Tamandua tetradactyla: one gene and its partner. Each later gene encodes a partner of the first gene's protein in a complex. Links are inferred from orthologs where the notes say so. Each region holds a gene or a part of one and is shown on either strand. Other genes may lie near its edges.

What was found. The genes of interacting proteins can lie anywhere in the genome.
Region 2: the proteins of NR0B2 (region 1) and NR5A1 are in contact, whole or in part, in a crystal structure (PDB 1YMT), measured with the Mus musculus proteins. The link is inferred for Tamandua tetradactyla from reciprocal best matches to the Homo sapiens genes NR0B2 and NR5A1. Residues at the interface, in NP_035980.1 of Mus musculus: Thr19, Ile20, Leu21, Tyr22, Leu24, Leu25, Ser26; in NP_001303616.1 of Mus musculus: Ile275, Val278, Arg282, Phe287, Val292, Gln295, Met296, Leu299, Gln300, Asn450, Leu452, Glu455, Met456.

Annotation. Positions count from the first base shown.
Region 1 is NC_135328.1:199,327,067-199,334,551, reverse strand, and holds NR0B2 (nuclear receptor subfamily 0 group B member 2), read right to left. Parts: upstream 2,992-7,485; 5' UTR 2,963-2,991; coding exon 2,422-2,962; intron 1,568-2,421; coding exon 1,326-1,567; 3' UTR 815-1,325; downstream 1-814. UniProt on the Homo sapiens protein: Transcriptional regulator that acts as a negative regulator of receptor-dependent signaling pathways. Specifically inhibits transactivation of the nuclear receptor with which it interacts.
Region 2 is NC_135328.1:46,602,493-46,610,987, forward strand, and holds the start of NR5A1 (steroidogenic factor 1), read right to left. Parts: upstream 3,372-8,495; 5' UTR 3,249-3,371; exon of another isoform or gene 3,197-3,248; intron 1,799-3,196; exon of another isoform or gene 1,669-1,798; intron 1-1,668. UniProt on the Homo sapiens protein: Transcriptional activator. Essential for sexual differentiation and formation of the primary steroidogenic tissues. Binds to the Ad4 site found in the promoter region of steroidogenic P450 genes such as CYP11A, CYP11B and CYP21B.

The DNA of each region.
Region 1 (7,485 bases):
CTGTGGCACTGAATGGAGCAGTCCTGGAGGCCATGGTCATGTCAAGTTTTTACCTCTAGCTGGATGATGGGAATGTCTGGGAAGAGGATCCTGGGACAGAGGCTGGGGCAGAAGGGCAGTAGAAGGGGACCCAGGGAGGGAGCTGTTAACTGCCTGTCATGGAGGCATCTCAGATTCTTAACTTGTGTAGCTGTAACACTGTGGGCCAGCTAAACTTCATGGAGGCATCTCAGATTCTTAACAACTTGTGCAGCTGTAACACTGTGGGCCAGCTAAACTTCATGGAGGCATCTCAGATTCTTAACAACTTGTGTAGCTGTAACACTGTGGGCCAGCTAAACTTCAGCCTGCCTTGGCCTCTAAGCAGCTTCTAGGCAGCCCAGGGAGACTTTCCCCCCACACACACTCCCCACAACTAGGAGAAAAATGGCACATTCTTCTATGGACTACGGGGAATGGGGGTCGGGTAGGGGAATGAATTGTCCCAAACTTGCAGAAATTCCAGTGAGCGTCTCTGTTTCAATTTGGGAATGGGCTGCTTCATTTTCCTGACTGACCATGATCAGACTCACTGAGGTGAATGGAAGCCTGTAGGGGATGGGACCAGGGAAGAGTCGGTAGGGGTTGGAGATAAGGGAGAATCCTCCCCCCGCCCCACTCCCCCACCAAGGATAAAGGCAGATATGTAAGGGGCTTGGGAACTGATGCTATCCCTTGGGTTCACAAGCAGAGGCAAAATGCATCTCATCCTCAGAAATGAAATCATCATCTCACTCTGAGAAATTAATACCCTGATTCCCTGAGACCCAGCTCCTACACCCATTATGGGTTCTTTCCCTTGGGCTCCTACTCATAGGGGCAGGAAGGGCCCTGGAGGTGAGGTGGTTCTTTACCTATGTACAAACCACAATGTCTGGCTCCAAAGTGTCACACCTTTTATTACAAAAAGTAATAATTTAAGTCAGTTCTGTACAAAGTAAGTAGGACTTCTGGCCTATGAGCAACCTAAGCCCTCCATATCCCAGGAGGAGACAGGAGTCTTGGTCCAGAGACTCTGGGGATCACCAAGAGCTGGCCAGTTGGCTGAAGCACTGTGTCCAAATGAGGGAAGTCCAAGATAGGGCCTGGCTGGAGTGAGGGGCTCCACAGGCCATCTGGCTGAGCCAGGCTCAGCTTGATCCTAGAGGGCTGAGTGCTGGCTATACAGGCTTAGTCCTTCCAGGAGCATCAGGTCACTCCTGGGGACAGGCAGGCCAAGCCAGATTGAATTAACATTGCCAACCTCTGCACAATCTACACTGGATCTCTGCTAGGGCCGGGGCAGATCACCTCAGCAAAAGCACATCCTCGAGGAGGCTGGTGATGTCAGTGTCTCCAATCACCGGGCGAAAGAAGAGGTCTCTGAGCAGGCTGGGTGGAAATGACTTGAGGATAGAGGCCATGAGGAGGACACGGGCCAAGCGGATTTGGCCTATTGGGCACTGGGGCTCCAGGACCTCACATAGTGCCTGATGAGCCTCCTGCTGCAGGTACCCAATGTGGGAGGAGGCGTGGAGGCCAGGCACATCTGTAGGCAGAGAGGGTGAGAAGGCTGGTTAGCACCCCACTCCTAGCCACCAAGGGACGAGACCTGAGGCTGCCAGCAGGCACTGCCCTGCTTCTTTGCTCAGCTTTTAAGGCCCCATTCCTACTTCATTCATTTATTCATTTATCTTTTTATTCATCATCCATTTATGGAGAGGCAGCATAGAGTAATGGTTAAGAGCCGGACTACCTGGGTTTCAATCCCAGTGCCATCCCTTATTTAGTGCACGACTGTGGACAAGTTACTTAATCTCTGTGCCTCAGTTTCCTCATCTATAAAATGGGGCTAATAATAATACCTACTCTTAAGCTTGTTATGATGTTTAAATGATATTTAGTATATGTAAAACCCTTAGAAATAAGGTCTAGCATACAGTAAGTATAATATGTGTTCACTATTATAATTATTTCAGTTATAATAATAAGTATTATTATAATCAATTGCTATAATTTAAGCATTCCACAGGGGCCATTTGGTGGAATAGTCTTATCTTAGATGCTCTCCAGATTATAGAGAACATGGTCTCCATCTGCTGCTCTCCTAGGTGCATTTCACTAAGACTCCCTCCCTTTTCTCTTTTACACCCCCTTCGTTCTTCCTGTCTGTGTGGTCTTTCCAGACCTATGGAGTTCTACCTTCAGAACCTCACCACACAGTCTTCCCCTTTCTCTTCTCATCTTCCCCTCCCACTTCTCTCTGAGTTTTTTCTGTGTGATGAATATTTAACGATAATGGGGAACCAAAGAGGTGATGGATGTCAAGCCCTTCAAAGGTACCCTCCCTGGATGAGTCCTCCCTCCACTTTGGCCCCCATCCCGGAGTGTCTGGGAGCTCACCAGGGTTGAAGAGGACTGTCCCTTTCAGGTAGGCATACTCCTTGGGGCCCAGCTCCAGGCTCCAAAAGGACTCTAAGCAGTACTGAAGCCACTGCACTGCAGCCAGGGAGGGCTGGGGCCTGTCGGGCAGCTGAACACTGCCACGACTGCTGCCAGGCTCCTCCAGCAGGATCTTCTTGAGTATGCTGGGCATTGGGGCCTCGGCCACCTGGAAGGTCACAGTGTCTTGGGCCAACCCAAGCAAGAAGAGGGGGCCCCAGGAGCCCCGCAGCAGGCGCTGCTGATCCTGGACGGGCAGCTGGTAGAAGGATGGCAGGTTCTTGAGGAAGGCCACTGTCTTGGCCAGAACGTCCAAGGCCTCCTGGCAGGTGCGATGGGGAGCACACAGGCGGACGGGTCGGTGCTGCCTGCACAGGCAGTGGCTACGGGATGCTGGGACTGAGGGCCTGGCCCCAGGGCTTGGGCTCAGAAGTGCATACAGGATGGCTGGGCGGCCTGCAGCACCTCGACATGGGCAAGCCCCTGGCTGGCTGGAATTCATGTTTCAGAATCTGCTCCTTCTTTCTCCTGGCTCTTTTGCCCTCTGCTCTGTACTGTGGGTGCTATTTATATCCCTCAGGGTGGGGGGTGGGAAGGAACGGCCCCAATAGCCTTGACTCCAGAAGTCATGTTCATTGAGAAAAAAAAAACATACTGACCCTGGCAGGACTGGCGGGGAATGGTGGGGGAGGAGGGCAGTAGAAGCTCCACGTGGCGCTGATATGGCTTCAGTCAATGTAGGGGCCACTGCAGGGCACAGGCTGCCTGCCCGCTGGCCCGTTGCCCCTTATCGGATGACTCAAGAGAATATAAAGGGTCATTAACCCAGGCTGTACCAGGACACCAAGGTCTCAGGTGCACAATCAGCAGGTGGCCATGACAGGTATCCCAACTGGTGCCTGCTCTTTTAGGCACAGAAAACCAGGGCTTTTGCTAAACTGAGAAGCCAGCCCCAAAAGTGGAGAAGCCTGTTGTATACTCAAAAAACAAACAAAAAAAAACCCAGCACTCTTCCTAAGCCGGGAAGCCAGTCCCAGCAGAGCTGGAGAAGCCTTGAATGCAAGGCCCAACCAGGAAGTGCCTTATCACTGGTTTGTTTGCCTAGCCTTGGGAACGTGTTCCTGCTGTCAGGAGGAGAGCCAGGAAGAGAGCCAGGACCCTGGGGGCTGGGAAGATTATGCCCACTATGCAATCAAGGGGTCCCCTTTCTCTGACTCCAGTTCTGGGTGCCCTGCAGAAATGAGGTCCTTCAGAACACTTTCTCCCCAGCCTAGATTCCTATAACTCCTAAAAGGACATGTCTGCCACGAAGTCCTCATGGATCGATAATGAAATATGGCTGCTCTTTATCAAGGATCTGCTACGTGCCAGGCACTTCCCATGTAAATATTCACAGCTTCCCTATGAGGCAAAGGTCTTACTTTGTGAGACTCAAATTGGTGAAGCAACTTGCCCAAGGTCATGCAACTGGGAAGGGTCAGAGCCTGGATCTACCTGATTCCGAAGTCCTTGCTGTCCCTCTGTACTCGCTGACCCAACATGCAGCCAGAGCTATGCTACCTGACTTTCTCAGAGCTGGTGGCTACCTGGGCCCCCACCTAGCTGCTTCCTGGTCTATAGGTGATGCCCACTTGTGATCTGGAGGGAAATATTGCTCTGCCCATCCCCTGGGTCCTCTGTCCTCAGATGGTAAGACATATGGTATGAGAAGGAGCATGAGTCTCCTTGACTGTGTCACATCCCTGGACTTTGGCATGTCCAGCCTGGCAAACTTCTGCTACCACAGTGCCAGGCAGTGTGGTGCCCTGGACAGAGAGTGATAGGCTCTGGCATCATCCAGCCCTGGCATCTGCTCCTGGGTCCATCACATACTAGCTATGTCCTTGAACTGATCCTCAGACCTCTGTGGACCTCAGGAGTTTCTTTGGGGACAATAATATCTGTCTGCAGAGCTGTTGTGAGGACCAAGTGAGGTTCTAGATGTCAAGTTCTAAGCAGTTTGGGCATTCATTTGGGGACTTTGCTCTTTTCCTCTCCCTAAGGAACTAAGCACCAGCACACAAACAGGCAAATATCTTTCATTTGCTTGTGAATAATCTTAATTCCTTTCATTTGTTAAGTTCTTTCTATGTCCTCCTACCTCACTGGATCCTCACACCATCCCACTGACGGAGACTCTAGAGTCAGACTGCCTGGGTTCAAATCCTGGCTTCATCACTTCCTAATGAGTGACCTTGGGCAAGCCACTTCACTTCTCTCCTTGTCCTCAGTTTCCTCATTTGTTGGGGGTAGGGGAGCATGGGCCTGGAATCGAAGCTGGGTCCCCCACATGGTAGGGAAGCATTCTACCATTTAACCACCTGTGCATCACTATTTTCTCATTTTTAAAGTGTGGCAGAACATTCAAGAGAGGATATTGGTTTTGTGGGGCTAGAAACTTACACAGTTTGGAGGGCCTTCTGTAAGAAAAGAATTGAAAATCAGGTGTGAAGGTGAATATTAACAAAGAGAAGATAAATCACTACAAATTAAACTGACAGAAGGCACAAACATCCCTAAACTAGGAGAACAATAAAATATTTTTATTCATCAATTGCCTGATCAATTTGCCTACACTTTGTAGCTGCATAATCTTTGCTTAGCTCTTCATATGTCAATGATATTTTAATTTTAATTTTGGAGCATTCACAAACTTTCAGAAAAGTCCTAAGTACAGTAGAAGGAAGCTTTTTTATTTCCTTCACCGTTTGAGAATACTTTGCTATTTTTTTTTTTTTTGCCCTATAACCCCTGAATACTTTAGTGTATAATTCCTACAAACAAGGACATTCTCCTACATAACCCCATATGTTTTAGTCTGCCAAAGCTGCCAGAATGCAATACATCAGAGATGGATTGGCTTTTAATAAAAGAGGATTTATCTAGTTAAAAATGTATAGTTCTTCAGAGGAAAGGAGCTAACTTTCAACTGAGGTTCTTTCTTATGTGAAAAGGCACAGGGTGATCTCTGCTGGCCTTCGCTCCAGGCCTCTGGGTCCCAGCAACTTTCCCCGGGGTGATTTCTTTCTGCATTTCCAAAGGACAGGACTGAGCTGTGAGTGCTGAGATGAAGCATGCTGAGCTGCTTGGCTGTACTACACTGAGCTCTCACATTTAAGCATCCAGACAATTAAATCAAACATCATTCATTGCAGCAGACATGCCTCCTAGCTGACTGCATATGTAATCAGCAATAGATGAGCTTCATATGCCATTGGCTCATGTCCACAGCAACAGAACTAGGCACCTACACCTGGCCAAGTTTACACTTGAACCTAACTACCACATGTCTACCCCTTGTCAACTTGGCAACTATACATATCACTTTAAACGATATTAAAGTGGCAAAAAATCTCTTCTGGCTGTGGACCTATGAATCTCAAAACAAGTTATCTGATGCCAATATGCAAAGGAAGGACAGTCACAGGATACATGTTTTCATTTCTATAAGGAAAAATTGGAGGGAACACAGGAGTCACAAGACTCAAACAGTTCTGAAAACTTGCAGGGCAAATTCCATTGGATTTCAAAGTCTGAAAGTCATATATCCTTTGGCTTTACAAAGTGGCAATCCCACCCTTTCCAAGGGCCTATGTGGTGGCCCACCTCTTTCTGAATCAACCTCAGGGGACATTGAGGAGACCACCTTTTTCTTGGCTCCAAGCATCGGGGCCACACCTGGGCTCTGCCATTTCTGGGGCACACGCTCAACCCCTCCATTTGATGGTAGCCAGGCTCTCCCCAATTCCCAAGGAGTACCTTCTCCAAAGCCTGAGGTGACACAACTCTTCCACTGCAATGAGGTGGGAGACTCATCCTCTGCCTTCAGGGAAAATTCACTCTCTCCATGTATATAGGTGGGTTCACTCTCCTGGCCTGAGATTTCTTGGCTTCAGACCTAAGCTTCCATGGTTCTCACTCTGCAAACTCCAATTTGTTCTTTTTGTGTCCCACTTTGTTCAGATTGGCAGTGGTTCCACTTACACCAACAGTCTCTTCAAGCACTCCAGGACTTCTCCATCATTCTCTTCACAGTTCCTCCCAAATCTTCCCCTTATCCATCCAAAAAACTGTTCCAGCATGTCTGGTATTTGCAAACTGCAGCAGCACCCCACTCCTGGTATCAAATCTGTTTTAGTCTGCCAAAGCTACCAGAATGCAGCACACCAGAGATGGATTGGCTTTTAATAAAAGAGGATTTACTTAGTTAAAAACATATAGTTCTTCAGAGGAAAGGCAGATAACTTTCAACTGAGGTTCTTTCTTTGCGAGAAGGTACAGGGCGATCTCTGCTGGCCTTCTCTCCAGGCCTCTGGGTCCCAACAACTTTCCCCGGGGTGATTCCTTTCTGCATCTCCAAAGGCCTGGACTGAGCTGAGAAGTGCTGAGATGAAGTATTCTGAGCTACTTGGGCAGAGAGCTGCATTGAGCTCTCACATTTAAGCTTCCAGCCAATTAATTCAAACATCATACATTGCAGCAGGCACACCTCCTAGCCAACTGCAGATGTAATCTGCAATAGATGAGCTTCATATACCATTGGCTCATGTTCACAGCAACAGAACTAGGGACCTTCAGAGCTTCTTGGAGTACTGATTGATTCCAAGGCTGGGGCTGGAGAAGTAAATACTTTTTACACCAGAAAACAAAGAGGTGTTCAAAGAATGATGGGGACATGGCAAAAGGACATAGACTCCAACTGGAAGGAATTCCCATTGGCCTAATCTGGGACAATCTGAGCATCAAAATAAATAATGATAGTTGCAGATTGTAACCCACTGAGTAAAATAGGAGGCCATCAGTACACACCAAAATAAAGAAATAAATACATAGTTTTCAATTTGCTAAAATGCTGCCAGAATGCATTATACCAAAAATGGATTGGCTTTTGCAAAAGGGATTTATAAAGTTACAAGTTATATTCTAAGGCCATGGAAATGTCCAAAGTAAGGCATCAACAAGAGAACACCTTCACTGAAAAAAGGC
Region 2 (8,495 bases), about 150 Mb from region 1:
CAAACTGGGGAACCCAGGGAGGGAAGGCTCAGGGCTGATTTGCCTCTAGGTCCACAGAAGCCAGCACAGAGCAAGCATTAGTGAGTGTTGGTTGAATAATTGTTCGTCCCTGCACTGCAGGCTCCCAGATGCTGCCAGTGGGCATAGAGGTCTGCTTCCTGCTCCTCCGTGGCCCTGTTCCTTTCCCTTTAGGCAGTCAGTTGTCAGTTCCCCCCACCACTCAGGCTAGGCACTCCTCACCCACTCCCCAAATTTCCAATCAACACTGGATAAGTTGGGTGAACCTCCTCTTGTTCTGTGCTGCCCCTCCCCTGCCCTCATCCATACTGGCTGTTCTGTGGGAACAAGAGGAGCCAGGGGTTGCCAGATGCAGGGAATGGCAAGGCCCTAATACAAAATTGCCTCCTATGGGCCAGGGCTGCTACTAACCACTCTACACCTGTGGTCAATCTTGAGCCCTCTCCATCATCCTAGGAGGTAAGTAGTTTTCCCTTCACCTCCCAAAGTAACATTTGAGAGATGAGGCAACTTGGCCCCAGAGAGATGAGGCTGCGACCCAGAGTCACAAAGCAGGGGAGTGGTGGGAACAGGATTCAAATCCACACAGTGGAGTCCAGAGCCTAGACTTGCAGACTCTGAGTGCTCCTGGCTCTCTAAGAGCCCCTGGGTGGCCTATTTGCCCTCTCTTTCAAGCTCCAGCCCAGGTGGTCCCGGGCCACAAGACCCCCGGGAGGAGGAGGAAAAGGGATGTAGTCCTGACCGAGGCTTCCCGCCTGCCTCCCTCCCCAGGAAAACAAAGCCCAGGGTCTCTTTCCTAAGTGGGGACTTTCCCAACGTGCCAGGCCTATTTCCTGGAGGTAGAACAAGGAACAAACAAACCTGAGACCAAGAAACTGAAAGAGAGGGGAGAAATGGGTTGAGGTACAGTGTAGAAAGGAGATAGACTGAAAAAGAAAGAAGCCAGAAAATGAGAAAAGGAAACTGCACTGACAGCAAAAGAGACCCAGAGATGTTCAGAGCCTGGGAAAGAGAAGGAGAGAGAGAGAGCGAGAGAGAGAGAGACACTGAGGCAGAAAATGAAAAAAGAGAAAGGGGTAGGGGTCCAGAGAGCTGGAAGCAGAGGGAGTGTGGAGACCCTGTGCCGGGCAGAGGAGGGGGTGGGCCTGCTGGCAGCAGCAGAGGCTGTTTCCGCTGTACCCCTTATCAGCCTGCTGCCAGATGTTCAGATCCGATGCCAATGTCAGAGAAGTCCATAGTGCCGGGTCAAGGCCGTGGCCGCGGGAGCCTCAGCTGCAGTGTGGGGAGGGGGGCCAGGGGCCTGCAATGGACCTGCTCAGTCTTCCCCCTCCACCTTTTGGCTCTCTGGCTGGACCACCTGGTGGGGGTGGGGAAGACCAGGTGCCTCTGGGAGCCACTTCTCCAGACAGAGAGTAGAGACTTGGGGGAGGCAGAGTGGAACTCCTGGCAACAAATGGACACATACATCTTTGTACAGCCCCACATGAGAGGAAGCACATGGACACATGCCCAAGACACACACGAGTGCATATGAGTGCACAAAGCCAGGCGGGGACAACTCACAGATAGTGCTCCATCACTGCACCCCCTCTGCACCCCACAGCCTGCTGGAGCCTCTGTTCTGCATGATCAGCTCTATGGCCCTCTCACCTGAACCAGGGTTGCAGTTAGAGCTCTTTGCAGCTGGCAGGGTTTCCAGTGGCCACCCTCCTCCTCTGTGAACATGATACTCTCACAATCTGCATGCTTCTGAGGGCTGGGCCAAGGGACCCGGGACCCCCTGGAATAAGAGGCCTGGTGGAGATCCTCAGCAAGAACTGCAGGAGCTGCATGTCAGGCAGTGCTGGGGCTGCAGCCTTGGGATTGGGACTCTCCGCCATGCTCCCGGAGTGTGCAGCCACAGCTGGGGCTCCCTTCCTAGGGTAGCTTATCTCACCGTGCACACGCTTGGCCCTCAAGGGGTGACCCAGCCTTGCTCCCCACATTCCTCTTCAACCACGCAGCCGGTGGGCCCCCCACAGACATGAGACAGAGCCTGTGCTTGGGGGGTGTGCAGGAGCCGTCATTCAGAGCCCCACCCCCCACCCCAGGTCCCAGCCCTCTGCAGCCATCTCTGGGGTCTTGTCTTTCTTTCCTTTTTATCTCTGAGCATCTCTCCAGTTTTATCTGACCCCATGAATCTATGTCTGTCATTGTTTTGCCCCAATCTATCTTTTGGAATGTCTATTTCTTTCAGCTTGTTTCAGTCTCCCAGTCTGTCTCTCTTTGCTCTGTCTCTCTCTGGGGCCCTTAAGGGGGATTAAATCCGGGGGTATCACTGCTCTTCTTTTTGGCTCATAGTAGCTAGCCTCAGTGGGAACATATGAGAAATCAGTCTTGGGGTGGGCATGGGGGAGGGCCTGGGCAAATGGAGGTCTTAACTTGTAATTGGTGCCCTAGGCAGCCCTAGCAGTGCAGGCCCCCTTCCCACCCACCTGCTAAGAGTCAGTCCAGATACCGGACATTGATCAGAGCCTGGAGCTGGTGGGCTCCCTGGTATTGAGGAGAAGACTGAGGGGTAGGAGGAAGAAGCTGGAACTGGAGGTCTCCAGGCCTGAGGGCCTCCTTCCTGTTTGTAGGGAAGTGACTGCCTCAGAAAGCTGCTCAGGGGAGAGGAGGGAGGCCACAGTGACTTCCGGGAAGCTAGCCAAGGGCCCGAGGCCACCCTCCCTGTACCCACATGGGGCCCTCTGGCCCTGGCTTAAAATAGTGCAGTTCCTCCGCTGTTGCTGCTGGGCCCGGCCCAGCTCTCAAAGGGCTGCTGGCTGCTGGCTGCTGCTTATACTGCCAACCGTGGCCTGGGATGGAGGGGGACGCACCCAACTATGCAGTTCTTCCCCAGATTGAGGCTGAAGGCTGTGTGTTGGCAGTACGGGTGGGAGAGGGGGCATTGTAGGGAAAGCAGTTCATGGAGTTAGAAGCCTTAGATTAAAATCTCAGCTCCAATAATGATCAGCTGTGTAACTGAGATGGTCCATGCTGCCTTCCTGAGCCTCAGTTTCCATTTATGTAAGATAGGATGAGGGCTTGGCTTCCAACCTAAATAAGACCACCTATATAGGCTCCTCAGACCCTTGCCAGGCATAAAGTAGACATTCAGAAATTGGGAGTTCCCTTTGCCTCTTTTGCTAGATTGTACCTCAAACTCCTCACCCTGAGGAAGGGTCCTTGTAGCTTTCCTCAGTACCTACACTGTTCCTAGGACTAGGTGTTGAGCAGGGGAGGTCTGTGGAGAGGGAGTTTCCAGGGAGGGCAAGGATGGGACTTTGGTCTCCATGGTGAGACTTGTTGCCAAGGGAACAAAACTCCAAGAGCCCTGGGTCTGGCAGTTGGGCACTTTAGCCACAGCCCAGAGAGGCTGATTACCAACACTGTGGACCTAGAACCCTAATAGGCAACCAGGCTAACGGCAGGTCAAACTCTGCTGGATTTCTGCTTTTGGGGTGAGGGGCTGCAGCTCCCCTCACACAGCTTCCTCTTATGAATTGACTTCATTAAGCTCCTACTTTGAGCCAGCCATGGCCAATCCTCCTTAAACCCCTGAGACATAGGTACTGGCCTCTCTATTTATCTAATAGGGAAAGTGGCTCAGAGAAGTATCCACTGGATCCAGGTCATGTGTAACTAGTATGGGGGAAAAGCTGGGATTAGAACTCAGGTGGTAAGACCCCTGATAGATGTGCCTGCTGTCACATGAGTTGTCCGAGGGAAGTGATCCCTGGGAGAGGGCTCCATAGAACCACACCCAACCCCCAACCTCATTCCAACACTCTCCCCTGCCATCACTTCTGGTTTTCTTTTTTTTTTTTTTGTTCAATCTCTGGCATAACCCAGAGCTGCCAGCACACCCTGCTGCTTCTTCATTTACAGAGATGATCTTAATTTGCCTCACAGGGATTGCACAAGGATAAAGATCTTTGCACATATCCTGCCAAATAGTAGGTGATCAGTGCCAATTTATACTCATTCCTGAGGTCACACTAGCTATGTAGCCTTAGGCAAGTTGCTTAACCTTTGTGCGCCTCAGTTTTCTCATCTGCAAAATGGGATCATTATAGCACCAACTTCATTGGCTTACCTTAAAAAATCAGTAATCTAATGCACTTGAAATGCTCAGCCCATTGCTTTGCTTAGCTCACTCTGTATTAATTACTTTATTATTCATTTCTTCTAGATTATTGCCTGGCACTTGAGGGAACCAAAAACTCAGTGTTAGTTAAGTAGAAATTTATACATTAAGATTCCATGGAATATTGTCCCAATAGAATTTTCACAGCTATGCTAGGGGAAAAATGTTTCATGCTCAAAAAATGTTTTTGGTAGACCTTGGGTTAAACAAAATCAGTTTTTTTCAGTTAGGACCTCTCAGAGCCCTTACTATGTACCAATGAAAGTTGAGAGTCAATGAGCAGAAGATAAAGTTGAGCTGAACACTCATGGTTTGTTTACTTTTCCTTGTGGGTATTATACTTCAATAAAAAGTTTAAAAAATGGTCAAAAAAAAGAAGAGCAAGTGAAGTATTTCCCCAAATTTTGCCAATAGAACTCCTACTTATTTTTCCATGGAGCCACCTTTTGGTGTATGTTCTGAGAAGTCATATATTTGGGACAGCACTGCTTTTCAGCTCAATTTGGTTGGGTCTGTGCATCTACCCCTTACAGAAATTAATCTTTCGTTAGTTTAATAGAGTTTTGCTTAATAGCAAAAAGTTCAACCAAAGGCCATTACTGAGCTTTGTTACAAACTCCAGACGTCCATATTCAGCACTACTGAATTGCTAAGGCTGAGCAGGGAGGCTGCCTTGTTGTAACTTTGCTATCAGATAGACCTGGATTCAAAAGTCAATTCTGCCATTTAGTCATGTGTCATTTTTGGCAAATGGCTTAACTTCCTCAAGCCTCAATTTGTTTATGAATAAAATGGGGCTAAGACCTAACCCTTGCAAGGTTATGAGGATTACATGAGATAATGCACATAAAGCACTAACCATGGTGCCTGGTACTTTATAGGCACTCAGCAAATGTGTTCCCCCCTCTCCTTGTACCTCTGTGTCTTATGTTTACTTTTTGTGGGGCAAGGAAGAGTCTATTAATAATTCTGCAGTGTTTTCTTTGTCTTAAAACTATCGCTTTCAAACCTCAAGGGCTCTCTGACTCCTTTGTGCTAGAGGCTGAGGTTTGGGAAGGCAGCTGGGCTTCCCCTCATTCCACATGGTTTAATACACTTTGATCATACTCTCTTCATACTTATCTTCCCAGACTGAGAAGCCTTCATCTTTCCCATCTGTCTTCACACAATTCTCATCCCTAGTCTGCCCCTTGTCTGATCACATGAGCAGCAGGGTTACAGGAATGTTGGGAAGATCTGGGTTCAAGTCCTAACTGTGCCACTTTCTGTGTGACTTTGGGCAAGTCCCTTAACCTCTCAGAGCCTTTATGATTTCAGCCATAGAAAAAGTATTAATAAACGCCATCCTTTTTGTAGAAAGATAACTATTAATCTGCTGGACTGCTGTCACTGATGTGTGCAGCTCTTTCCTGAGACTTAGCAGATGGTTTTTTCCCTAAACCCCTGAATGTGGCATTTGAAGCTTCAATTTGCTTGATACGCACTAATCCCCACATTCTGTTACCACTCTTGCTGCTGCAGTCCCTTGCTATATCTGATTGCTCCATATATGTATATATTCTTGGGGGCTGGGGGTGCATGGCCAGGGAATTGAACCAGGGTCTCCCGCATGGAAGGCGAGCATTCTACCACTGAACTACCCTGAATACTCCATATATTTTTTACTTACAACTGGACCTTTGCATATATTGTTGGTTCCTTTACCTGCCTTACCTTTCCCTTTTTGTCTGGTTACTTTCTTCTAGGCTCACCTTCAATAATATTCATCTGTGAAACCCTTCTTGACTATCCTGAGTAGAACAATGCACTCTCTCCTCCAGGTCCTACAACCCACATACATCCCTAACTGCAACCCCGATTCCACTGTACTGCATAGGTCTGGGTTTGCCTCTCCCAGTAGACTCAGTTCCTCTAGCTGTGCCACTTTCTGGCTGGGTTACCATGGGAGAGTCCCTCCACCTCTTGACCTCATTTCTTCACTTATAGAATAGTTAGTAATTCTAGAGATTCAAAGAGGTTCAGATCTGTGAAAAATTCTAGCACTGGGCCTGGTACACAGTCAGTGCTAGTTCATTGATTTAAGAAGTTCTTAGAGAGGCATCCCTTCTGCCAAACCCTCAGCAATAAGGATTGTGGTAGGTTTCATCTCTAAGAGGAGCCGTAGGTCTGAAGGTATGAGCTAATTGCTTGGGATACCCCATCATCCCTCCCCAGAACCTTAGATAAGACAGATGCCATGTGTAGAAGGATTCACATTTATTGGTTCAAATACAGTACCTAACACTTCTAAACATGCATTTATACTAATTGGTCACATTTCCACAGGTAGTCAATTCACAGAACAGGGCCCATCCCTTGCCAGCTGGCAGGGTGGGAGGTAGCAGAGGGCCTGGGTAGCCCACAGAGCCCACCAACTATCATTTAGTTATGCATGGTTGATGGAGCCAGGCTGGGGCAGCCCTTGGCCAGCCCTTTGGGGACAAGGGCTCAGAGACATCCCATTTACTCGATTCCTACACAGGACTGTGGGTAGAGGCAAGCCTGGAGAAGCCCAGGGGCAGGCTCGTGGATGCATGTGCCACCAGATCCCCCAAGGATGGAGTTTGTGGGAGGTGGTGTTCCCTATGCCATGGAACACAGGAAGAAAATGGAGGCCTTTTCAAGGGAGTGGCTAGTCCCTGGTTGGCAGGTGGGAAGGACTCCCCAGACATGGCCCAGACATTACAATGCAGCCACAAGGCCCTATCGCAGACCTGGGATGGCAACACAGACAAAAACACCAGCACCCCAGGGCAGGCAGGCTTTCTTTCCCGACAGAAACATGTAAACAGAACAGGAGTTACAGTGTTCTTTTCCCACAGAATTCTTCAGAGAAGAATCGACCAGGATGTTACTCAAGAGGTAGTTTTTTTTCATGGAAATTTGAGTTCAACATTATCACCTAATACAAGACATTTCAGAGTAAGAAAACAATAGTCACCAAAAGACAAAGATGATCCTTTGGTTGGTAGGACTGGCTCCAGGATTTGGAAGACTAGCCTCCACCATTAATTCAACTTTTTTCTTGGGCTTGCAGCAGGCTCTGGCCTGAGTCACAGCTTCCCTTTTAGGCCCACGGTGGGTTCCTGAGCAGGCCATGGCCCATTTAGGCTGCAGGCTTGAAAAGGGAGGCCAGGTGGAAAGTGGACTGATTAGAGGAACCAGGCTTCTTATGAGCTGGTAGAGGCAGGGCTACCATGGCTCTTGTTGTGGGATAGCTAGAAGTCTTAAAGTCTCCAAGTCCCCAGGTCTGGCCAGACAGGAAGTCCCAGCAGGCTCTCTGGCCAGAGGAGGGGGCTCCTGCCTCTGAAGAAAACCAGGTCTGGCTCCCAAGCCCAGAAAAGAAGCTGTTGCCTGTGGCAGCCGAGAGGGGATTTCTGGGGACCCTGTAATTAAATACACATCCCTGAGCTGTGGCCCTAGAAACCCTTGCTTCAAGGCTAACCAGTTTCTAGCATCTGGTGGAATGATTGCCGTTTCTCATCCTGAGACACAGATAAAACATCATATCACACACTGGACATAGATGCTTCAAGCAGAGAAAAAAAGGGAGGAACGATAAACTGCAAAGGCAGAAGGGAGTGCGGGGAGACTCTTGTGGGGAGAATCTTGTGGGGGGGAGTAAGAGTAGTGTTTTTTTTTTTTGTATTTTTCCTTTTAAAAAAATCAATAAAGAAAATTCAAAGTGTAATAAAAGGGCAAGTCTGAAAAGACTGGATTTCTTAAAACAATTATAAAACTTTAAACAACAACAACAACAAAAATATATAGACCAGGGTCCAGAGCTAAAGTCTTGGAACCATGTTCAACTGCCTGCCCAGCTGGGAGGCCAGTGCTCACTTTACTTTGGCTAACCTTGGACACGGCTTAGATGTTGCCCATGCTGGGTTTGTCTTTCTCCATTTGTCCCATTCCCTAGGAAATCAAGAACAAACTACAAATGTAGGAAATGGGTAGCAAAGAAAGGCAGCTAGCTCTCTGTTCCCAGGGTTTTAAAGGCCTTGATGACACTGACCATGGCAGATACTTGCCTCTCTGAGAAGGGGAGGCAGGTGGAGGCAGGTCAGTGTGAACTGGTTGACTTTCAGTGATGCCATGGACACCCCTAAGTTTCCTCCATTCTCCTCTGTACCTGGGTAACAGAGTAGGGAGGTGCCTGCCTGCCGCCTTCTATCCCTGGAGGCTCATCCACCTCACTCATGGGCTGGGGTAGGGATTGGGTGTCCTCTGAGACAGGTAGGGTGCTTGAAACAGGTTCTGAGGAGTTTCT